Linked DNA regions of Oryctolagus cuniculus. The main gene of each other region encodes a partner of the protein of the gene in region 4 in a complex. Links are inferred from orthologs where the notes say so. Each region holds a gene or a part of one and is shown on either strand. Other genes may lie near its edges.

Region 1 (4,451 bases), on a different chromosome or scaffold from region 4:
GCGCTCACTACTTTGAGGCATTCTCACTGCCCCCGCTCTCACTCAGCTTCTCTCTCTGCAGGGCCTTTGAACATCTGTGAGGAAATGACTATTCTGCACGGGGGCTTCTTGCTGGCCGAGCAGCTATTCCGCCCCAAAGCGTTGGCAGAATTGACCAAGTCGGACTGGGAACACGTTGGGCGGCCCATCGTGGAGGCCTTGAGGGAGATCTCCTCGGCCACAGCACACTCCCAGCCCTTTGCGTGGAAGAAGAAAGCTCTGATCATCATCTGGGCCAAGGTTCTTCAGCCCTGTCCCGTCACCCCCTCTGACACGGAAGCTCGGTGGCAGGAAGACATATTCTTCTCCGTAGGCAACATGATTCCTACCATCAACCACACGGTTCTCTTTGAGCTGCTCAAGTCCCTGGAAGCATCTGGACTCTTCATCCAGCTCCTGATGGCCCTGCCCACCACCGTCTGCCGTGCAGAACTGGAGCGCTTCCTGGAGCACATGGCCATTGACACTTCTTCCAAGGATGTGGCCTTCTTCCTCGACGTCTGGTGGGAGATGATGAAGCACAAGGGCCCTCAGCAGGACCCCCTGCTCTCCCAGTTTAGGACCATGGCCCATAAGTACTTGCACCCTGCAGACGAGTTCTCCCACCCTCCAAAGAGGTTTAAGTCGGACCCAGATGTGTGTCCCACCATGCCCTTGCTGGCCATGCTGCTCAATGGGTTGAAGCAAATCCAGAACAGGATCCTGGGCCTGGGGATGAAGTGCTGTGCGCTGGCCAACCTGGCTGACATGCTGACCGTGTTTGCGCTGATGGAGGACGACCCCCAGGAAGTGTCTGCGACCATGTACCTGGACAAACTGGCCACGGTGATCTCTGTGTGGAATTCGGACACGCAGAACCCGTACCACCAACAGGCGTTGGTAGAGAAGGTCAAGGAGGCGGAGCGGGATGTCAGCCTGACCTCCCTGGCCAAGCTGCCGAGTGAGACCATTTTCCTGGGGTTTGAGTTCATGCACAGCCTGCTGCGGGAGTGGGGGGAGGAGCTGCAGGCCATGCTCAACAGCAGCCAGGGGACGAATTACGACAGCTACCGGCTGTGTGACAGTCTGACGTCCTTCAGCCAGAACCTGAAGCTCTACCTGGACGCCACCAGCCTGTCCCCGGAGGAGAGGCGGATGGTGTCCGAGCTGGCGGAGTGTGTCCAGGGCTTCCTGAGGAAGACAAGCAGGGTGCCAAAGGACAAGGGCTCTGAGGCCATCATGGCCTCCATCGCCATGGCCATCATTGAGCAGAAGATGGAGCGCCACATGGAGATGTGCTACGTCTTCGCTGCGGAGAAGAAGTGGGCCTTCTCAGACGAGTGGGTAGCCTGCCTGGCCAACAACAGGGCTCTCTTCCGGGAGCCAGGCTTGATTTTAAGGCTGCTAGAAACGGTGGTAGAAGTCACCGCGAGCAACAGAATCATCCCTGAATCTCGGATGAAACAGGTGATCCACTTGATCCTGGAATGTTACGCAGACCTCTCACTGCCAGATAAAAACAAAGTCCTGTCGGGCGTGCTGCATTCCTGGGGGCGCAAGGGCCTCTCTGAAAAGCTCTTGCCTTACCTGGAGGGTTTCCAGGAAGACCTCAATACGACTTTTAACCAGCTCACCCAGGGCACCTCGGAGCAGGGCTTGGCCAGGGCTGTGGCTTCCGTGGCCCGCCTGGTGGTGCTGTACCCGGAGGTCACAGTGAAGAAGATGTGCAGCATGGCCGTGATCAACCTGGGCACCCACAGATTCCTGGCTCAGATTCTCACCGCCTTCCCCGCCCTCAGGTTCACGGAAGAGGAAGGGCCGCGTTCACCCAGCACTTTCGTGGTGTCGTGCCTCCGAGAAACTGTCTGGACCAAGTTCTCAACACCCAGAGAGGAGAAGCAGTTTCTGGAGCTGCTGAGCTGCCTGATGAGGCCTGTGAGGCCCCCGGGGATCCCAGTCGCCGCCCTTCTTGAGCCGGACGAGGTGCTGAAGGAGTTTGTGCTGCCCTTCCTGATGCTGGACATGGACGAGGTGGACCTCAGCCTGAAGATCTGCCTGCAGACCCTCGAGGCCAGCGCGTGCTTGGAGGACTACTGGCTCCAGACCTGCTCCCCGTTCCCCCTCCTCTTCAGCTTGTGCCAGCTTCTGGACAGCTTCAGCAAGTACTGGCAGCTGCCCAAAGAGAGGCGCTGCCTCTCCCTGGATGGGAAAGACCTGGTGATCCGTCTCCTGGTGCTGCTCTGTGACACTGTGTCGGCCAACGCGGACACCTTCTCCCCAGACACCTGGGGCAAGTCCCTGTCCTGGCTCCACCGGAAGCTGGAGCAGCTGGACTGGACAGTGGGCCTGAGACTCAAGCACTTCTTTGAGGGCCACTTCAAGTGCGAGGTGCCCACCACACTCTTTGAGATCTGTAAGCTTTCTGAGTCTGAGTGGACCTCCCAGGCCCACCCAGGGTATGGGCCGGGCACAGGGCTTCTGGCCTGGATGGAGTGCAGCTACGTGTCCAGCAGCGTCTCGGAGCAGATGCTCTCCCTCTTGGTGGTGGACGTGGGCAATCCTGAGGAGGTCCGGTTGTTCAGCAAGGGCTTTCTGGTGGCCCTGGTGCAAGTCATGCCTTGGTGCAGCCCCCAGGAGTGGCAGCGACTTCACCAGCTGACCAGGAAGCTGTTGGAGAAACAGCTCCTCCATGTCCCCTATAGCCTGGAGTACATTCAGTTTGTTCCCCTGCTCAACCTGAAGCCTTTTGCCCAGGAGCTGCAACTCTCTGTGCTCTTCCTGAGAGCTTTCCAGTTTCTCTGCAGCCAGAGTTGTCGTAATTGGCTTCCTATGGAAGGCTGGAGCCACGTGGTCAAACTCCTGTGCAGCAGTGTGACCAACCTCCTGGACTCCGTTAGGCTGATACAGTCAGTTGGCCCTTGCGCCCAAGGCCAAGAGCAGGACCTGACCCAGGAAACCCTGTTTGTTTATACCCAGGTGTTCTGTCATGTTCTGCACATCATGGCCATGCTCTACCAAGAGGTCTGTGAACCGCTGTATGTGCTGGCCTTGGAAATCCTCACCTGCTATGAGACCCTGAGCAAGACCAACCCTTCCGTCAGCTCCCTGTTACAGAAGGTGAATGAGCAGCGCTTCTTAAAGTCCATCGCCGAGAACATCAGCCCGGAGGAGCGGCGCCAGACCCTGCTGCAGAAGATCAACAGCTTCTGACGTTTGCAGGCAGGAAGGAGCTGGGGCCCGCCCCAGGGGTTCTCTAGGGGCTGCGGCCAAGAAGCAAGGCTTCGCAGTTCCGTGAAATTGTACACAGGATTAAAAAGTATATGGCAATAATGGTGTAAAGGAAATAGTTTCATACTTATTTGTAACAAACTATAATAAAATTCTGTTAAAGTTTCATCTTGCCTGAGTCTGTCTCAGCAGGGATTGAATGCACGGCTGTAGGCAGAGACTCCGAGATGAAGTCCCGCTGGGAGGAACTGGGCAAACAGGCCCACAGGTGAAACCAGGTGGGGAAAAATACTGCAGGGTGTGTGTGCGCTCTGCGCACTGAGACCCTCTGCAAGAGACGTTTCATTAGTAAATTTCACCAAGTATCTCAGAGCAGCCCCTGGGAAAAAAGTCTGGTCTACCCTGGCTCTGCCTCTGGCCGTGTGATTTATGCACCCAAGAGGCCAGCACCATTGTAAAAGGAGAGGACTGGACCAATAAACACTTTGAAGTGTTAGGGGGCAGATTAATGGCCTCACAGAAATGGGTGCCTTCTGGGTGGATGCCTGCCCTGGAGCCTTCCCTCGGTGGACCCAGAGGGGGCTGTGTTCAACCTAGGTCAGGAAAACAGAGATGTGTTTAAAGGACAGGGGTGATTATCTTCTGGCTGGGGTGGGGTTGTCACGGTTTTGATGAATGAGTGGGAGCAGAGAATAGTGTGTCCAGGAGCGTAAATATGAGAATTGAAGGTGTCCAGGGTATTATTATAGGACAGGCAACAGCTGGCTGAGGAGATGTTTATTTCCGGAGACAGAGGGAAAAGGTCATGTCCTATCACCTGCCTGTCCATACCTTCATTCAAAATTGGCATTTCTCAGGTTAGTTCCCCAGCCCCTGCTCTGTGACCAACAATTAGGCTTCCACCCTCAGCTCCAGTGGGACTCACCCATGAAGAGAAGGGCCTAAAGTTACAGGTGACCACTCAGCGTGGACTCCGGGAGACTGTATTCGCGGGGTGTTGAATCACAGGAACATGCTGGGGTAACGTGGGCTGGGTCCTCCTGCAGCTCAGCACTGGCGCACCTGCTGCCGTCAGCACACAGCACAGTGCAGCCAATCAAACTGGGTCAAAGGATTGCTGCTCCCAGGACATCGGTAACGAAGGATTTCGCAAGCGAGAGTAAGTTGGGAAACATTAGTGCAATTTAATCACCACAGGGATGACT
Region 2 (4,189 bases), on a different chromosome or scaffold from region 4:
AATGAGAATTTTATGAGATTTTTGAGAATCAGGAATGCCCAAATGATAATTTGTTAGTATTATTAGGTTCCTTCATAAATGAATGTTAAAAGTAAAAACCATTGATTGTGTTCTAATTATTTTTATAGATTTTTGATGAAATTGAGTCATGAAACTGTAACCATTGAATTGAAGAATGGAACACAGGTCCATGGAACAATCACAGGTATGGAGATTGATGACTTTATAACACTTATTCTTCATCTCTTAAACATGAAAACCAGAATTCATTTTACTTTTAATTATAGTACAGATCCTTATTTTTTGGTATGAATTATTTAATTGACTTTTTACTTTACATACTTGCTCTACAACCAAACCAAATTACCTAGTTTATCCTATTTTCTTGCTTTTATGCCTTTGCTTGTGTATTTCTTTTCCTTGAATGTTAATTGTTCCAAAATGCATTTGAAACTTTTTTTTTTTATTAGAATTTGTGGTTCCTATTCTTGAAGGCAAGAAGCAGGGCTATATTATGTGTCTAACTCATTGTCTTAATAATATTGTGTATTTCATATTTAATGTCTACTTCAGTTCTTTGCTTATAGTAGATATTCCAGGAAGTTGTAAAATTTCAAAAGAATTGAGAGAAAACTGTCTTTATTTGTGCCCCACTCTGAAATATTTAAATTCTAAGTTTATATGTAATTTTTAAAAAAGATTTACTTTATTTATTTGAAAGAAAGTTACAGAGACAGACAGATCCTCCATCTGCTGGTTCATTCCCCAAATGGCCACAACAGCCAGGGCTGGGCCAGGCCAAACCCAAGGGCCGGGAACTTCTTCCAGATTTCCCACATGGGTGCGGGGACCTGAGCACTTGGGTCTTCCTCCACTGCCTTCCCTGATTTCAGTACCTAGCTCTGGCTCATGACTTCAGCTTCCAGCTAATGCAGACCCTGGCAGGCCACAATGCTAGCTCAAGTAATTGGGTTCCTGTCATTCACATGGAAGACCTGGGCTGAGTTCCCAACTCCTGCCTTTGGCTTTAGCTTCAGCTGCAGCCATTGTGGGCATTTGGGGAGTGAATCAGCAGATGGGAGCTCTATCTTTCTTTGCTTCTCAAATAATAGTTGTTTTTAAAAGGTTAGTTAAAAATGCACTCTAAATTCCTACTAATAAATGCTACAGTAAATATAAGACTTTGAAAACAAAAGTAAGGGGGCTGGCGCTGTGGCGCAGCAGGTTAACACGCCTGGCCTGAAGCGCCAGCATCCCATATGGGCGCCCGTTCGAGACCTGGCTGCTCCACTTCCTGTCCAGCTCTCTGCTGTGACCTGGGATGCAGTAGAAGATGGCCCAAGTCCTTGGGCCCCTGCACCCGCATGGGAGACCCCGAGGAGGCTCCTGGCTCCTGGCTTTGGATTGGCGCAGCTCTGGCCATTGCGGCCAATTGGGGAGTGAACCATCGGATGGAAGTGTGGGGAGCAACTGGGAGCAACTCGGACTAGACTAAGTTACTGGAATTAAGACTTATTCTATGCATCTGCTTTCCCACAATATGGCGCTGAGAAGGGAAACAGCTTCTACTCAGCTGCCTCCAGTTCAACCAATAAACTGTGGGACCTGCTCCTGATTGGAGGAGAGCAGCGTACTCGGCGTGTGGGTAGCAGAGTTGGGATTGGTGGAAGGACTATAAAGGAGGAGAGAGACAACATGCACCAGGAACATCTATGGGGAACATCTAAGGGGAACATCTAGCTGAAGGAACACCTGTGCAGCCCCCGAGAAGAGCCGGCCGGCGGTGTGCCGCTCCCCTGCGGAAGTGGGGAATGTGGCCAGGGGGAACTGCCCTTCCACGGAGGTGGAAGGGATAGTAGCCAACCCGGGAAGAACCAGCAGCAAACCCGGGGAGGGCCGAGCAGACGAAAGAACAGCGCAGGGTCTTGTGTCGTTCCTCCACGAAGAGGGGGAGCGACATAATGGTGCCGTGACTCGGATATGAAGCCTAGGCAGGGTTTAGTGTCGTTCCTCCACGAAGAGGGGGAGCGACAGGAAGATTTCTCTCTCACCCGCGCTCGCTCGCGCGCGCTCTCTCTCTCTCTCTCTGCCTCTCCTCTCTGTGTAACTCTGACTTTAAGTAAAATAAATAAATCTTTAAAAAAAGAAAAGTGAGAATAGTAGGGCAGACTTTGTGGCACAGTGGGTTAAACTACCTCTTGGGACTGATTCAAATCCTAGTCCAATCTAGCTTCCTACTGATGCTTATTCTGGGAGGCAGCAGATGATACGTCAAGTGTTTGAGTACCTGCTGCCCACATGGGAGACCTAGAAATTCCAGGTCCCCAGCTTTGGCCTGGCCCTGCCCTGCTGTTTTGGGTGTTTGGGGAATCAAACTGCAGGTGGAGAATCTCTCTGTCTCTGTTGCTGTGCCTTTCAAACAAATAAATTTACATTTTTTTTTAAAAGTGAGGATAACATGGTGGAATGCAATATAATGAAGTTATGGGGACAATATATGACACTTTTTTTTTTTTTTTTTTTTAAAGAATCTTGCCATAAATACTTGGCCAAACCTAAGATAGGAGGAGGATCCTTGGGTTGGTGGGCATAAAGCATGTGTAACAGGCAGGTTTCCACCAGGCTTTCTTCATTCACTTCTGCAAATGTAACTGGCAAAACCTCTAGGAAGGAATGAATACAGACTTAGGCTGACATTCCTCCTCCATTTACCCATTGCATATGTGCTAATTTGTGTTATGGAAACTTCCTTTGTAGCAAATGGTTCTCATCTGTAATATAGTATTTACCATGGCTTCATAGATTAATTGGTTGCCTTCCTTTTCGCGCTAGTAATTGTCCTGCTTTTTCCCTTCCAGGTGTAGATGTCAGCATGAATACGCATCTTAAAGCCGTGAAGATGACCCTGAAGAACAGAGAACCTGTACAGCTGGAAACACTGAGTATTCGAGGGAATAACATTCGCTATTTTATTCTACCGGACAGTTTACCTCTGGATACACTACTTGTGGATGTTGAACCCAAGGTGAAATCTAAGAAAAGGGAAGCTGGTAAGTTCGAGGGATTATATATGCTTTTGTGAATGGTGTACTTATACTCTATTCAGAATACAAATATTTGGCAACAGCACAGGAGGTTTTGTTGTTTTTTAGAATTTTCTTGTCATGTGTGCATCTGTTTATTGTAGCTCCTGATATTACTGTAAAAAAGATTGGTATTTTTATTTCCTGTTTTCTAGTACATGACCTGGTTCCCATTCTTGCCACTTTAGAAGATTTACAGATTGACTCTATTCCTGATATTATGAAATTCCTTAAAGATTTGGCATAGGGTTCTCTTGCCATCACCTCCGATCTTTTCTCCTTTTCTCCCCTTCCATTTTGTTGCTCTGGGTAGTAGACAGACTCCCCCCCCCCCCCCCCCCCCGGCAGAGTTAGTGAGAGAAAGAGAGAGAGAGAGAAAGGTCTTCCTTCCGTTGGTTCACCCCCCAAATGGCCGCTACGGCCGATGTGCTGCAGCCGGTGCACAGTGCCAATCCAAAGTCAGGAGCCAGGTGCTTCCTCCTGGTCTCCCATGCAGGTGCAGGGCCCAAGCACTTGGGCCATCCTCCACTGCACTCCCGGGCCATAGCATTGGGCTGGCCTGGAAGAGGAGCAACCGGGACAGAAATCGGCGCCCTGACCGGGACTAGAACCTGGGGTGCTGGCACCGCAGGTGGAGGATTAGCCTAGTGAGCGCGGCGCCGGCCAGGCAGACCATTCAGTGTGGATATTCTTGCTCTTTATAGCCAAGAAACTTATTGTTTAACTTTGGTAATTTCTTCCCTTTTGCTTGCCCTTTTATTTTTCCCCTTAAAAAGCTCCAGAGATTTTTGTTTGTTTGTTTGTTTTGTTTTTATTTGACAGGCAGAGTTAGACAGTGAGAGAGAGAGAAAGGTCTTCCTTCCGTTGGTTCACCCCCCAAATGGCTGCTATGGCTGGCACGCTGCGCTGATCCGAAGCCAGGAGCCGGGTGCTTCTCCTGGTCTCCCATGAGGGTGCAGCAGGGCCCAAACACTTGGGCCATTCTCCACTGCCTTCCCGGGCCACAGCAGAGAGCTGGACTGGAAGAGGAGCAACCGGGATAGAATATGGCGCCCTGACTGGGACTAGAACCCGGTGTGCCGGTGCCGCAGGCAAAGGATTAGCCT
Region 3 (4,022 bases), on a different chromosome or scaffold from region 4:
GTTGGAGACCCAGAGGAAGCTCCTGGCTCCGGATTGGCACAGCTCTAGCTGTTGTGGCCATTTGGGGAATGAACCAGCGGATGAAAGACTTTTCTCTGTGCCTCTCTGTAACTCTGCCTTCCAACAAAAAAAGAAAGAAAACCACATGGATAGGAAGAAAGAAATCATGGAAACTAGCTTTTTTCTGATTCTTCCTGAACCTATCAAGCTCAAATAGGAGAAGTTGCAGCTGAGCTTACAGAAACTTCATTTCCCGGAGTTCTGGCTTTTAGTAGAGCTCGGTTGTGTCCCTCTCACCTCTCACCTGGAAGACATGCCTTCCAGGACAACAAATAAAATCCTATTTCCAACTAGGTTTTCCTTTACTTATTTTTGGATTTGGAATGCCATAGGCTTTTTATCTAATGCACGTCGGTGTGAAAACTCTAATAACTTTCAAGAGAAACATGGCAGCTGAATACCAGGAGAAACAAGTGAGCATCATGTGCATCCTAGAAACGCTTACAGAGCTTCTGTCTCTGATCATGGAGTGCCTGCAGAAGGCTGCACCATTTACTGATGGACAATACTCTTCCATACCAACAGGAGGTCCAACATGGAATTCCTTTAATCTTTCTTCACACTCTTAAAAAATGCACAGATAAAATATTATACATTAATTGATCTTAAATCAATGAGAGAAGTGGGGGGGGGAATTAAACGCACAAAGAAACACAAAGCACATAAGTTTTCTTTTGAAAAGAAAGTATGCAACATTTTATAAGCTGCATAAATTACAACAAAAATTTGGAACACAAATTTAGCTATTTAGATTAAAAATATTTATTACAAGCAAAGTTCCTTTTCTCAATTAAAAAGAAAACATGATTGGAAACACTGATAATGGAGACTGGGTTCAAACTATTCCCATGTCCATTATAAAATAAGGTATGAATAAAGGAAAAGGTATTTTGGGATTTAAAATTAGGGAAGTCTACAAATGATTTAGATGACAGGAAAGTGGGGGTGGATAAAAAGAAAAAACTAACCAAAGCCAAGATGATCCTTAACATTTGAGTCTTTAATTAAGCACATAAAACTGTACTACTTAATATATTTCTCCATAAACTTCTTGTGAAATTCAGATCGCAGTGTATCATTTACAAATCTTTTGTCTTTCTTTTGATCATCTACACCTTTTGCACAGTTCTTGAAGACAACATCATCATCCCACCTAAACAGGGAAAAAACATAGAACACCCTATAACGTTTGTATCAGGAAGGCACCACGCGAACTGCAAAGCTTAGTCTTTATACAGAAATATGCTCGACATGCACATCATTTGATGCAGCAATTATACCCAGAAGATTAACGTAATCCTTAATAATCGTGCTTTATTTTAGCAGGAAAGACAATTCTTACTTAGAGAATGTAAAGTTTGCTGTTTCCCCAGTAAAAGAAACTGAGTTATAAAGCAGAAATATACAGAATATACAGGATAATCCTCATTAATATAGATGTCACTAGATGAGAATAACTGATCAATTTACTATAGTTTAGATTATGACATTTTGAGGATATTATATAATCTTCTTTATTAGTTAATTTAGTAATCATACTATAGCAGTAACATTGTGGGGCAAAAGGAACAGGAACTATCAGGTAGAATAACTAAGGTTCTTATATTGACTCACATCTACATAAACCACAGAAAGATAGCACTTAAAGAGCTCAAGGTAGAACTCTGTTTGCATACTTCTGGGTGGATTTTGTACTGCGTAAGTATTAAAAAAAACACCCGTGGGTGGACTATAAAATAGATGTTAGAGAAAATAAGATAAGATTGCATAACATGACCCAGCATATAAGATATAAGCTCAAACAAATGATACGAGTGTAAAATACAAGCCTATTCAAACGTGGTTGCGTGTGTTGATGTATGTATGCCATGAGAAACGGCACAGAAGAAATAAGAAAAGAATGTGGGCATTTTTGAAATATAGCATTAGTGAAGTCATCATTGATACAATACACAGAAACATAAAAGTGTAAACAGATCAACATGACTAGAATATAAGACATGTTTCCATCTACAAACAATTCCATCTGCATCCAAAAAGGAAAAGAAACTGTTTATCCTTACCTTTATATATAATCAGTAAAATCAATATACATTTTTTTCTATGTCCACTCTCTTCCCAACTCTTTGTCCCTCCTCCCCAACATCAAAATTATCATTCCACGCCACTAAATGGTAGCACTCATTTACGTGTCCTGACACCAATATTTGCCCTAAATGATCATGCCTCTCCTCTTGCCACACCAATCTCTTAGTTCTCTGTTTCACTGGCTGTTCCTTCTCTGTCTAGTTTTCTTCCATTCAAAATTCATTTACTGTTTCAGGCAGTGATAGCTAATCATCGACTCAACCTCTGAATACAACACCATGCTCAGTCCTAGGACTCCTCTCTAGCTATACTCATTCTTGAGGTGATCTTTTTTTTTTATTTTATTTTTTTATTTTTTTTTATTTTTGACAGGCAGAGTGGACAGTGAGAGAGAGAGACAGACAGAAAGGTCTTCCTTTGCCGTTGGTTCACCCTCCAATGGCCGCCGCGGCCGGCGCACCACGCTGATCCGATGGCAGGAGCCAGGTGCTTCTCCTGGTCTCCCATGGGGTGCAGGGCCCAAGCACTTGGGCCATCCTCCACTGCACTCCCTGGCCACAGCAGAGAGCTGGCCTGGAAAAGGGGCAACCGGGACAGAATCCGGTGCCCCGACCGGGACTAGAAGGTGGAGGATTAGCCTACTGAGCCGCGGCGCCGGCCTTCTTGAGGTGATCTTACGCAGTGTCAGAACTCCTATAAGCAGACAACTCTGAAATTTATTACCCCAGCTTGGACTGGAATCATATTAAGTTACCTCCTTAACATTTCCTCAGAGATGCACGTATCCTGCCAAACTTACTGTGTCCTAAGTTTGCCACCTCCCCTAACCCCAACCTTAGTCTACATTCTTCACTATCTCTATCCTTTCACAATTGTTTGGGTCAAATAGCTCAGACTCCAGTCTCTGATAAAAATGTCACCTTGTCAGCAAATCCTTCCTTGACTATGCTGCTGCCTCTGCATGGAGGGAGATTTTTACAGCTTTAGAGACCACTGTAAGGACTCAAGTTTTTACTGCAAATGAGTCAAGAAGCCATGGGAGGTTTAGTAGAGGAGACTGTTGCTGTAAACTTCAGTTTAAAAGGATCACGCTTCTGTGTCAAGAAAAATCTGGGAGTGAAGAGGGTGGCGAGTGTGCAGGAGAACAATTAGGGGCACTGCATCACTATGGAAGACGCAGCAATGGAGATGGTGAGAAATAATGGATATAGTTTAAAAGTTAAGCCTCCAGGCCGGCGCCGTGGCTCACTAGGCTAATCCTCCACCTGCCACGCTGGCACACCGGGTTCTAGTCCCGGTCGGGGTGCCGGATTCTGTCCCGGTTGCCCCTCTTCCAGGCCAGCTCTCTGCTATGGCCCGGGAGTGCAGCGGAGGATGGCCCAAGTGTTTGGGCCCTGCACCCACCTGGGAGACCAGGAAAAGCACCTGGCTCCTGCCATCGGATCAGCATGATGCGCTGGCCGCAGTGCGCCGGCTGCGGCGGCCATTGGAGGGTGAACCAATGGCAAAAGGAAGACCTTTCTCTTTGTCTCTCTCTCTCACTGTCCACTCTGCCTGTCAAAAAAAAAAAAAAAAAAAAAAAAAAAGTTAAGCCTCCAAGAGCCTTGATCACTAAGCTTCCTTCACTCAGCACTTCCTATAAAACTTTATTTTTCTGCATATCATCTAAAATACCATAGATAGTACTTTTTGTTTATAGTCTCTTCTCCTTTAACTCTCTACCTCAGCCCTCCAAACACACTGTACACTAAAGAGTTATGATAGCAGGCTGAGAACTGCTCTCCTTAGAAAGGGCTGGCATTTGGAAACCCAGGTTTTAGGAATCTTCTCACCATCACTGTACCTACAATGTATAAATAATGTAGTTTATACTG
Region 4 (5,970 bases):
CCAGGGGCCGCCGCTGTGGCAGAGCAGGGTAAGCCTCTGCCTCTGGTGCCAGCATCACATACGGGCACCGGTTCAAGCCCCAGCTGCTCCACTTCCGATCCAACTCCCTGCTAATGGCTTGGGAAAGCGGTGGAAGATGGCCCAAGTGCTTGGGCCCCTGCACCTGCGTGGGAGACCCTGGAAGAAGCTCCTGGCTCCTGGCTTCAGATCGGTCCAGCTCTGGCCGTTGCAGCCATATGGGGAATGAACCAGCAGATGGAAGACCTCTCTCTCTCTGTAACTCTGTCTCTCGAATAAACAAATCTTCAAATAAAATAGAATGAACCTGTCTCACGTGGGTCAGGAGGCAGCAGTATGCAAATGAGCCCTGATGCTTTCTAGGAGAAGTACAGCCAGTCCCAGCCGCCAGCTCTGGAGCTAACGTAAGCTTGGGTTCCAGCCCCGGTCTCCCACTGACCAGCTGCAAGCTCCCTGGGCCCCAGCCTCCTGACCAGCTGCAAGCTCCCTGGGCCCCGGCCTCCCCACCTGCACATTGAAGATCTTACTGACCCCTCACGGGGCTGTTTGCTGCTTGGGAAACACCTGTGTGAGACTCGAGTCAGTGCCTGGCTCCTGCCCCTCCGCCGCTCCGGGACCCTTGGACAGGACCCCCGCTTCCCATGCCCCGCTGGGCTAGGTGTGTGTGGGGGTGGGGGCGGGTCAGCGCTGGGAGAGGAGACGGGGCCTCGTACCTTTCTGACTTGGAGACTGCCCGGAGTGCCCGGGGCTCGCACAACAAGCAGCGGTCGCAGGAAAGTGCCCCAGAGGCGCTGCAGGTCCAGCTGCCCCACCACCCTCCGCAGCCGGGCCTCCGGGAGACTTCCGGTCAGCGGCGTCTAAAGAAGAGAAGAATGAGCGCACTGCTCCCTCCCCCCAAAAGCCCGGGTGCCTCCGCGGCATGGGAGACTTCCAGGATCAAAGTCTCTCCAAGCCCACCCGGTTTAGCCTACCCCTCGATCGTGACATGGAAACCGAAGCCCAGCGAGGGGAAGGGAGGCTTCCAAGAGTTGCCTTTCGGGCGTGGAACCCAAAACCCTCATCCTGACGACTCCGGAGCCTTTCTTTCCAGGGGGCGCGTTGGGAGGGGGCTTGCGCTCCGGGGAGGCAGCCGGTGGCACCTGCGGCCAGGGCCCCAGGTAGCGCCACGTCAAACCGAAACTCGGAAAGAGGAAGCGGGGAGAGAGGGCCCTCCAGTGCCCGCGCCGCGCCCAGCCTCACCCGCGGCAGCTCCTCGGTCCTGCGGTGCCAGCTGCCCCACAGCGTGTAGAGGGCCGAGCCCACGGCCAGCGCCAGCAGCAGCACGGGCAGCAGCTGCGCCCGCGGGAGCAGGCGGCGCTTGAGCGGCGAGCTCGGCTCCATCAGGCCGCGCTCCCCGAGCCGGGGCCGGGGCCGCCCGCGGCCCCCGGGACGCATGGCAGCTTTGCCCTGAAACCGGCCAGGGACCGCGGATGGAGTTCAGGCCCAGCCAAGTCCCACCCCATGGAATCACAAAGCCAATGAGCGACAAGAGCGCCGGGCACCACCCCGGCCCGGCGAGCCGGGTGCAGCTCCCGAGGACAAGCCTCCCCGGAGGCCCGGGGTGTCGCGATTGGCTCCCAGAGGGGTTGCACAACCCCCAGAGGGGACGCGAAGGCGTGCGGCCCGCCCCGGCGGAGCGGGTAAAGCCAATGGGCAGCGCCCGGCCGCGGAAAGGGATTGGTTCCGCGGGACGGGAAGATCCAGCGAGGCGTCAGGCCCCGAAGCCGGGACCGGATTGGCTTCGTGGAGGCCGCGCCCCCGGAGACGGGGCTGGCGGGCATTTAGAAACCTCTGGCCGTTTCCCTCCTGCAGCCTGTCCCGCCTCTACCACGAAGCGGCGCGACTCGGACTCTCTGTCTTGGTCTCTCCATCCCGATGAACACCTGCCCGCTGTGGTCCTTAAAGGCCTCGAACTGCCGCTCGCGGCTTCGGCCCCCTCGCTGCGCAGCCGGCGGGGGTCGCTATGGCAACAAGCCACGCCCCAGCCCGCCGGGTGGGTTTGCGCAGGCGCCCACGGAAGTGGCCCGCCGGAAGCGGAAGTCCCGCCCCTCTCGCGCTCCATCCGCAGAGGCAGAAGCAACGCGGAGGAGGTTGGAGTGAGAGTGACCCGAACGCGGGGCCGGCACCATGTGAGGCCGGGCTGGGCTTAAGCGGCGGGCGTGAGGTTGTGGGTGCGAATGCGGCCGATTAGCGGCGGAAGGGGGCGGCAGCGCCGGGGGCGGAGCAGAGCTCTCGGGCGAATTTTCTGTAATGAGCGTGGGACCGGCCCCCGGGGCCTCTGGCGGACCCTGAGTCCGCGAGGGCCGCCAGCTCTGTGAGAGAACGGGCAGCGGCTCCTCCGCGTCATCAGCTCGCTGGAGTGAAGGTTAAGAAGCGGCTTCTCGAGTTACAGAAGCCGGGGAGCGGGCGCGGGCTTTTAGGCATAGCGATTGGGGGCGAGGGGCTTGGAACGTGAGCTGGGGCCGGGGGCCGTGGCTGCTCGGCCTGATTCGCAACGACGCCGCGGCTGGGGCTGCAGGCTCAGCCGGGGGCCCTGGGAGGGTTCCGAAGAGGCTGCCGTGAGTTAGGCTTGCGCACGGCCCCCAGGCTGCCCCTGGGTGCAGGTAGCCCTGGCACGGAGGTCGGATTCTGCAGCCGGCCGGGGGGAGGGGTACGGCCGGCAGACGCATTGATTCGGCCCTGCCGAGCGGGACTACGGCAGGCTGGTTTTTAAGCCGGCGCCCGAGTGCTGTTCTGAACACCGAGGCTGGCCAGCCCCGAGTGGCCGGGCAGGCCTTTCTCCTGTGACTGTTGCCCGGGCTCCACGGGGTCGCAGCACAGTCAGGTCCCGTTACGCTGTAACCTGGAGATGACTTAGCGAGCGGGAGGTGTGCGCAGGGTGTGTGTGTGTGCGTCCCCGCCATCCCACCTAAGGGATCCGAGCCGCTGAGGCTTCCGGGACCCGGGCAACGCGGATCCTGGGACCAGCCCCCTGTGGATGCCGAGGGACAAGCGTCCGATTGTGGGGCAGTGGGCGTCAGACGCCAGGGGGAGGAAGGTGGGGGCGCCGTAGAGCAAGTCCTGACAGTGGCTGCTGTCCGAGTTGCCGTGGGAGACGAAAGAGGAGTGGACGTCCGCTTCTGCCCGGCCAATGAGAAGGGCGGACTTACCCCCCAGGGAGTGGTGTGCCCTGGGTGCAGCAGGCTGGGGAGGGGGCCTAGCGGGAGCTGAGCCGGGGCGGGCGGGGTTGGGGATGGCTGGTGGCTTCCAGGTGCTGATGCCTAGAGACCAGGCCGGCAGGGCTGGGGGGCGGCCCCGGCTCCTCCCCTCACCCGCGGGTCCCTCCTCCCCCGTCAGGAGCCTCCTCAACAAGCCCAAGAGCGAGATGACCCCCGAGGAGCTGCAGAAGCGGGAGGAGGAGGAGTTCAACACGGGCCCGCTCTCCGTGCTCACGCAGTCGGTCAAGAACAACACGCAGGTGCTCATCAACTGCCGCAACAACAAGAAGCTGCTGGGCCGCGTGAAGGCCTTCGACAGGTGCGCGGCCGGGGGCGGGGCCTGGCCCGGGAGGGAGGGGCCTGCGGGCGGGGCTCCTCCGAGGCCGCGCCTCCCGCCCTGCCCTGCGGTGGGCGCCAGCCGGCCCCTGCTGTGCTGTCCCTCTGAGCGGCCAGGCGACCCTCAGCGCGTGCCGTTATCTTGTCCGCACAGTGGCAGGCAGTCGTCGCGGTGGATACAGAGATGCGGTGACTTAACACGCATGAAGTGCCTGGCCACAGGACACCTTTTGGTTCATTCATTGAAAGAGAAGCGGAGAGACGGAGAGAGCTCCCACCTGCTGGGCACTCCCCGGATGTCCACAGTGGGGCCAGAGCCGGGGGTAGCACGCAGGCAGGCTTTTAATATTTTATTTATTTTGAGAGGTAGAGTTATGGATAGAGACACAGAGAGGTCTTCCATCCGCTGGTTCACTGAGCTGAGCTGACCAGGAGCCAGGAGCTTCTCCTGGTCTACCACGTGGATGCAGGGGCCCAAGCACTTGGGCCATCTTTTGCTTTCCCAGGCCACAGCAGAGAGCTGGATCGAAGAGGAGCAGCCGGGCCTCGAACCGGCACCCTTGTGGGATGCTGGCGCTGCAGGCCAGGGCGTCAGCCCACCAACCACAGCGCCGCCCCCGTGTGTTCTGTGGTGTCTCACTCACGCACTCACCGTGCCCCTGGCCGTCCTTTGTGGTGCCCACAGCCTTGCAGAGGTGCCCCTGGCAGGGCTCGGTCCTGCAGGAGAACCTTCCAGGCGCTCTCCTGCCGCCCGGTTCTGCTGGTCCTGGCCTGAGAACACTGCGGCCAGCGGGCTGTTGCCTGCCCCCTCAGCCCCTCCCACCCGCGACTGAATGCGCAGTGTGTGCAGGTGGGGCGGGTTCATTCAAACAGGCACCTGATGACGGGCGATCTCCTTCCTGCGCCCTCCCTCCAGGGACCGCCCCCCTGGTGGTCACAGATCCGCAGGAGTGTGGTGTGACTGAAACATCACATGTGTTGGAAGATGGGGGCTTCTTAGCCTTTTTTTTTTTTTTTTTTTTTTTTTTGACAGGCAGAGTGGACAGTGAGAGAGAGAGACAGAGAGAAAGGTCTTCCTTTTGCCGTTGGTTCACCCTCCAATGGCCGCCGCGGTCGGCGCGCTGCTGATCCGATGCCAGGAGCCAGGTGCTTTTCCTGATCTCCCATGGGGTGCAGGGCCCAAGCACCTGGGCCATCCTCCACTGCACTCCCTGGCCACAGCAGAGAGCTGGCCTGGAAGAGGGGCAACCGGGACAGAATCCGGCGCCCCGACCGGGACTAGAACCCGGTGTGCCGGCGCCGCTAGGCGGAGGATTAGCCTAGTGAGCCACGGCGCCAGCCTTTTTTTTTTTTTGAAAGGCACAATTACAGAGAGGGAGTGAGAGTGAGATCTTCCATCGCTGGTGCAGTCCCCAAGCGGCCGCATGGGCTGAGGCTGGGCCAGGCCAGAGCCGGGAACTGCAGCCACTTCCGGGTCTCCCATGTGGGTGCAGAGACCCAAGGATTCGGCCATCTTCTGCTTTTCTGGGTGCATCAGCAGGAGTTGGAGCCGAAGTGGAGCACCTGGGACTCGAACAGGCAACCATATAGGATGCCGGTGCTGCAGGCTATGGCTTTAACCCGCTGATCCACAGTGCCAGCCCCTTCTTATCCTTTTTTTTTTTTTTCTTTTAATCCCAGGACTGGCATCTGTGTACTGCGGGTTAAACTGCTGCCTACAACACCTGCGTCCCATATGGGCGCTGGTTCAAGTCCCAGCCACTCCATTTCTGACGCAGCTCCCTGCTGACGTGCCGGGGAGAGCAGCAGAAGCTGGCGGAGCACATGGGCCCCTGCCACTCAGCTGGGGGGCCCAGAGAAAGCTCCCAGCTTTGCCCAGGCCCAGCCTGGCCGTTACAGCCATTCGGAGAGTAAGCCAGTGTGTGGAAGGAACAATCTTTCTCTCCATCTCTCTCTCTCTAACTCTGCCTTTCAAATAAATAACTGCATCCTTCAAAAAAAAAAAAAAAAAAAAAAAAAATCCCTGGACCGCTGCTGTGTTGTAGTGGGCTAAGCCTCCACCTGCGACGCCTGCATCCATACAGGCACCGGTTCAAGTCCCGGCTGCCCCTCTTCCAGGCCCGCTCTCTGCTGTGGCCCGGGAGTGCAGTGGAGGATGGCCCAAGTGCTTGGGCCCTGCACCGCGTGGGAGACCCGGAGGAAGGGCACTTCCGGGCCCACTCTGGACGCCTGCCTGCTGTGTTGGGTTCAGTCCTAGTTCTGCTCCCGGCCCAGTGGTCCCTGTGAGGCGGCAGGTGGTGGCCCAAGTGCTTAGGTCCCTGCCACCGCGTGGCACTCGGGTGTTGCTGGCATCTGGGGAGTGACCAGCAGGCGGAAGCTC
Region 5 (5,341 bases), on a different chromosome or scaffold from region 4:
TAGCTACTTCCTCCGCTGGCTCGGTTTCCTGGGACTCGTGCAAAGCCAGAAGACAGGAGTCACGGGAAGGGAAGGACGGGGCTCCCTACCCGCTTTCCGGGAGGCTGACTTCTCCTGGGTGGAGACAGATCCGAATCAGGAGACCTGGTCCCCCGTTTCCTCCTTGGTGGAGAGAGGTCAGAATCAGAGCTTCGGTGCTGAGGTCTATTCCGTGGAGGAGACAGATCTGAATCAGAATCCTGAGGCCTCGGATTTTTACGCCGTGGAGGAGAAAGATCGGAATCAGAGGCTTTCCGGCGGTCACCTGGGTAGGAAAGAGTTCCTATGTGTTTCTAAGTCTCCTAGGTGAGGAACTTAAATGAAATTTCCTTTGGCTGGAGGAAGAGCCTAGAAATTAAAGAAAAGACTAATCCCTTTGTAAGAATCTGTAAGAAAAATTTACTCAGCTGGTATAGAACATTGACCTAAACACAAGTACAGAAGCTTTGGGAGAAGAGCCAAGTCAGAGATACTCTCAAAACCAACAGGCAGCAGATGGGGTTCTACTCCCAAATGACTAGTGACTGTGGCCATGACCGCTGTGTCAAACTTCAACACCTCCATCTACTCACAGAACAGGCTAAACAACTTGGGAGTTAGCTCTCCATGGTGCGGCCAAAGTTGGAAACAGCTACAGTATATTCTGATATCTGATATATATCACGTTAAGAGAGAAGGTAAGATTACACACACCGTAATACTCATTCTGCATAGCCAGGACTCAACTGCAACAAAAATACATTCAAAAAAAAAAAAAAAAAAAAAAAGACTAAAAGAAGGCACACATTCAGCCTAGTGGTTCAGATGCCCCGATTCCATAAGAGTATCCGGGTTCAATATCTGGCTCCAGTTCCTGACTCCAGCTTCTTATTAAAGCAGACCCCAGGAGGCAGCAGTCACAGCTCAAGTAACTGGGTTCTTGCCAGCCATATGGGAGAACTGGATTGAGTTCTCAGCTCCCAACTTTAGCCCAGGCTGCTGCAGGCATTTGAGGAGTGATTAGCAGATGGGAGCTCTCTGTCTGTCTCATTGGACCTCTACCTCTCAAATAAATTAATTTTTTAAAAGACTAAATGGACATTGGTTACAACATTATCAGTGATGGCCTCTGAATGACAAAATTTTGTGTCATTTTTTCTGCCTTTTTGTACACTTCTATGCATTATAAAACTTCTGCCACAAACATGTAGTACTTTTATACATGGTGAGAAGTAAATAAAATAATTCATAAAAATGTCCTCCTTGCCATCATAATGTTTTAACTCTCCTGAGCCCAGACTCCCACTTTTCAAAACTTTTCCAAAGAAATTCCATTCTCACATCTAATAGAGCAAGTAGAAGTGCAATAGAAAACTGCCAGGAAGGAAGTCCCTCCCGCGGGCGGTCACGTGCTCACCTTTAGACTCAAGCTGCTTCTTATCTCCAAAATGGGATTTTGCCTGTCTTTTTCGTGGCGGAGAGAGATCCGAGTCACACTCATACTTGCTCTTCTTCGGGAGTAATGAATGAGAGGTCTGTGGCTCATTCCAAGGTGGAGAAGTCTTGCTAGATGCTCTTTCTGGGGCTTTCTTACTTTTGGTTTTGGACACTGAGTGAGTGACATCAGGTGCCGAATTGGGGGAACTGTGTCGGGCCCCCCTGAGCTGCCCTGTGTCAGAGGTCCCGGGAATTTTCCTAGGTTGGGAAGCGTCAGGGGAGCTGTCGTGGGCCCTTCTGGAGGAAGAAATATCTGAGGAATTATGAGACGTCCTCCTAGCAGGAGACGGATCTGGTGAATCATGACGGGTTCTCCTAGGAAACACAGCTGAAGAACTGTGATGAGGCTTCCCGGGAGGAGAAGGATCCGGGGTGTCGTGACGGACCCTCCTGGGAGGAGAAGGATCCGGGGTGTCGTGACGGACCCTCCTAGGGGGAGAAGGATCCGGGGTGTCGTGACGGACCCTCCTGGGGGGAGAAGGATCCGGGGTGTCGTGACGGACCCTCCTGGGAGGGGAAGGATCCGGGGTGTCGTGACGGACCCTCCTGGGGGGAGAAGGATCCGGGGTGTCGTGACGGACCCTCCTGGGAGAAGGATCCGGGGTGTCGTGACGGACCCTCCTGGGAGGAGAAGGATCCGGGGTGTCATGACGGACCCTCCTGGGAGGGGAAGGATCCGGGGTGTCGTGACGGACCCTCCTGGGAGGGGAAGGATCCGGGGTGTCATGACGGACCCTCCTGGGAGAAGATGGATCCAAGGTGTCGTCATGGATTCTCCTGGGAGGAGAAGAATCCGGAGTGTCATGACGGAGCCGTCTGGGAGGAGAAGGATCCGGGGTGTCGTGACGGAAATGCCCTTGTGAAGGTAGGTCTTCATCGTGACCTAAGCACAAATAGCAAAGAATCAGATTTCCATAGTTGCTCTGTCCACCCCTTCATTTAAAGTTTCAAAAGATGTCCCGGCAGCATACACCTTAGAACTACTCAGAAAGCCCAAAAAGTCTGCACAGCTCTCTTCCTTGGAGGCAGCAAACCAGCACTAATGAATCTAGAGAATAACCCCTCTTACTGGTCTACAAGTCATAAATTTGAAAGCATTTTAAAGACATTTTTCATATTATACCCTCTAAGGTAAGCAGGGCAGGTCCCTTGTTTTATAGACATGAAAAGGGAGGCTCTGTGATACTGAGTGATTTCTTACTTAAGGTCACAGCTACTAAGATAAAGACTGGCTAGAACCAAACTCTTCTAACCTTTAATCCAGTTTCTTTCCAAAACCTCATTTAGGCAGAGTTCCCCCTCAGTGGCTCCTACTGATACTTAGCCTAGACTATTTATAGCTGTAATCAATCTTCTTTCAAAAGTCAAATGGACGAGGCCGGCGCTGTGGCACAGCGGGTTAATCCTCCACCTGCAGCATCAGCATCTCATATGGGCCCCGGTTCTAGTCCTGGCTGCTCTTCTTCCCATCCAGCTCTCTGCTGTGGCCTGGGATGGCAGTTGAGGATGGCCCAAGTCCTTGGGCCCCTGCACCCACATGGGAGGCCCAGAGGAAGCTCCTGGCTTTGGATTGGTGCAGTTCTGGCCATTGCGGCTATCTGGGAGTGAACCAGCGGATGGAAGACCCCTCTTTCTGTCTCTACCTCTCTCTGTAACTCTATCTTTCAAATAAATAAAATAAATCTTAAAAAAAAAAAAAAAAGTCAAATGGACAGAACCTATGCACATTAAAATAAAATGCTTGTTAAACATTTAATCCATGTCACTGTGCTTCTTGTAAGAGAAAATCACTTACTGATAATCTACTATGTGCCAATGCTCTATACAGATTGCCTTATTTAATTTTCACAAACGTAGGCAGTAAAGACTATCCTCATGAGGAAGCTGATACCCAGGAAGATCAAGTCATCTGCCCAAGTCACACTGCTGGTAAGTAGTGAAGGAGTAAATAAAAATCCAGATTGGACCCCAAAGTCCATGTGAAATCTTTAAAAATATGTAGCTGAGGAAAAAATTCACATTTGAGGCCATCAATTTCAGTGGCACAATAGAATGAAATGTTTATAGCAACTGCAACATTCCCCAACTCCAGTTCCTCCTCTCCCTCTGGTTCTTGTCATTGAGCTATATGGGCCAAAACCACAAAGCTGGCTAGGAACACGTGGATATTGTTAAGTGCATGAAGTAAACCGAGGCACCCCTCTGCTCTAAGAACAGACCTATGGCACTGGAATCCACCCCACAGAGAACAGCACTGATGTCTGCAGGAGGCTTGACAATACATCTAATCCATGAGACTGATACATTCCAAGAGATGTATACAAAGGGGGAAAAATCAGAACAGTAAGTTATTTCCAGTAAATAAAGGACTGTGTGTGTGCGTGTGTGTGTGTGTGAGAGAGAGAGAGAGAGAGAGAGAGAGAGATTTCCTAGACCTTTAGACATGGAGACCAGAAGATCTTCTCTGAAAAGATTATACAAAAGATTGGAAACACACCTAGAGGATAAGGTAGAAAATAATGGATAAGACTAAAAAGCATTCTGATAAAAATATCCCAAGACTAAAGTTTTCATTTTTTTTTTTTAAAGATTTACTTATTTATTTGAAAGTCAGAGTTACAGAGAGGGAAAGGCAGAGGCAGAGAGAGAGAGAGAGAGGTCTTTAGGTCTTCCATCTGCTGGTTCACTCCCCAAATGGCTATAATGGCCAGAGCTGAGCTGATCCGAAGCGAGGAGCCAGGAGTTTCTTCCTGGTCTCCCATGCAGATGCAGGGGCCCAAGGACTTGGGCCATCTCTTACTGCTTTCCTAGGCCATAGCAGAGAACTGGATCAGAAACAGAGCAGCTGGGACTTGAATCAGCGCCCATATAGGATGCTGGTACTGCAGGCATGGGCTTTAAGCACTATGCCACAGCAGTGGCCCCTAAAGTTTTCATTCATAATATGTACTGAAAAGTAACCAAGGCAACAGTGATACAATATATACATATATATATATATCTCAGTGATATAATTATATTATATTATATATATATCAGTGATATATATAACAGTGATATACAATCTATAGCTGTCACTTTCACTACACATTTTTTCAAATCAGAACTGTAAGATAATTAACATAATGGCAGAAAGTATAACACAGATGACAAATCTTGTCTAGAAACTAATTTATCCTCAACGTGGGAAAAGGAACAAGCATCCAGAATAAATTGGAATTAAACAGCTATCAAGAAGCAGGGTCTGGGGCCGGTGCTGTGGCATAGTGGGTTAAGCCTCCACCTATGATGCCACCATCGCATATGGGTGCTGGTTTGAGTCATGGCTGCTCCACTTCTGATCCAGCTTTCTGCTATGGCCTGCGAGAGCAGAAGATGGCCCAAGTGCTTGGGCCCCTACACCCATGTGGAAGACCTGGAAGAAGCTCTTATCTCCTGGCTTCAGATAGGCCTAGCTCCAGCCTATTGAACCAACAGATGGAAGACCTCTCTCTCCTTCTCTCTGCTCTGCCTCTCTGTAACTTTGCCTTTCGAGTAAATAAATAAACCTTTAAAAATTTAAATAAATAGAAGTATTAAAAAAAAAAAAAGCAGGATCCTTGTTTATGAAATACACATGGGCAAAACCAAGCATGGCCCCAGTGGCAACACAGAGCAGGATATACTCACTGGACTCACAGGTACAGCTATCTAGAAAGTTCTTGGAAAAGGAAGAACAACTGCAAAGCCTCTAGTGAAGAGCAACAAGCCATGAGCAGCAAATGCCTATCAGCAAGCCAACAATTCCACACTACTGAGGCACCTCCTGGGCTAGGCAGCAGGAGGA

The links.
Region 1: SNRPD2 (region 4) and GEMIN4 share a complex: the UniProt entries of both Homo sapiens proteins name them as parts of the SMN-Sm complex. The link is inferred for Oryctolagus cuniculus from reciprocal best matches to the Homo sapiens genes SNRPD2 and GEMIN4.
Region 2: SNRPD2 (region 4) and SNRPD1 share a complex: the UniProt entries of both Homo sapiens proteins name them as parts of the SMN-Sm complex. The link is inferred for Oryctolagus cuniculus from reciprocal best matches to the Homo sapiens genes SNRPD2 and SNRPD1.
Region 3: SNRPD2 (region 4) and CWC15 share a complex: the UniProt entries of both Homo sapiens proteins name them as parts of the minor spliceosome. The link is inferred for Oryctolagus cuniculus from reciprocal best matches to the Homo sapiens genes SNRPD2 and CWC15.
Region 5: SNRPD2 (region 4) and BUD13 share a complex: the UniProt entries of both Homo sapiens proteins name them as parts of the minor spliceosome. The link is inferred for Oryctolagus cuniculus from reciprocal best matches to the Homo sapiens genes SNRPD2 and BUD13.

What each region holds. Positions count from the first base shown.
Region 1 is NC_091448.1:46,447,865-46,452,315, forward strand, and holds the end of GEMIN4 (gem-associated protein 4), read left to right. Parts: intron 1-61; coding exon 62-3,228; 3' UTR 3,229-3,412; downstream 3,413-4,451. UniProt on the Homo sapiens protein: The SMN complex catalyzes the assembly of small nuclear ribonucleoproteins (snRNPs), the building blocks of the spliceosome, and thereby plays an important role in the splicing of cellular pre-mRNAs.
Region 2 is NC_091441.1:56,024,574-56,028,762, reverse strand, and holds part of SNRPD1 (small nuclear ribonucleoprotein Sm D1), read left to right. Parts: intron 1-128; coding exon 129-205; intron 206-2,858; coding exon 2,859-3,050; intron 3,051-4,189. UniProt on the Homo sapiens protein: Plays a role in pre-mRNA splicing as a core component of the spliceosomal U1, U2, U4 and U5 small nuclear ribonucleoproteins (snRNPs), the building blocks of the spliceosome.
Region 3 is NC_091432.1:86,190,807-86,194,828, forward strand, and holds the end of CWC15 (spliceosome-associated protein CWC15 homolog), read right to left. Parts: intron 1,214-4,022; coding exon 1,084-1,213; 3' UTR 1,040-1,083; downstream 1-1,039. UniProt on the Homo sapiens protein: Involved in pre-mRNA splicing as component of the spliceosome. Component of the PRP19-CDC5L complex that forms an integral part of the spliceosome and is required for activating pre-mRNA splicing.
Region 4 is NC_091449.1:11,274,792-11,280,761, forward strand, and holds the start of SNRPD2 (small nuclear ribonucleoprotein Sm D2), read left to right. Parts: upstream 1-2,036; 5' UTR 2,037-2,184; coding exon 2,185-2,186; exon of another isoform or gene 2,187-2,422; intron 2,423-3,393; coding exon 3,394-3,573; intron 3,574-5,970. Other genes in the region: QPCTL (glutaminyl-peptide cyclotransferase-like protein), read right to left, coding at 732-875, 1,258-1,452. UniProt on the Homo sapiens protein: Plays a role in pre-mRNA splicing as a core component of the spliceosomal U1, U2, U4 and U5 small nuclear ribonucleoproteins (snRNPs), the building blocks of the spliceosome.
Region 5 is NC_091432.1:108,718,410-108,723,750, forward strand, and holds part of BUD13 (BUD13 homolog), read right to left. Parts: intron 2,399-5,341; coding exon 1,436-2,398; intron 305-1,435; coding exon 90-304; intron 1-89. UniProt on the Homo sapiens protein: Involved in pre-mRNA splicing as component of the activated spliceosome. As a component of the minor spliceosome, involved in the splicing of U12-type introns in pre-mRNAs.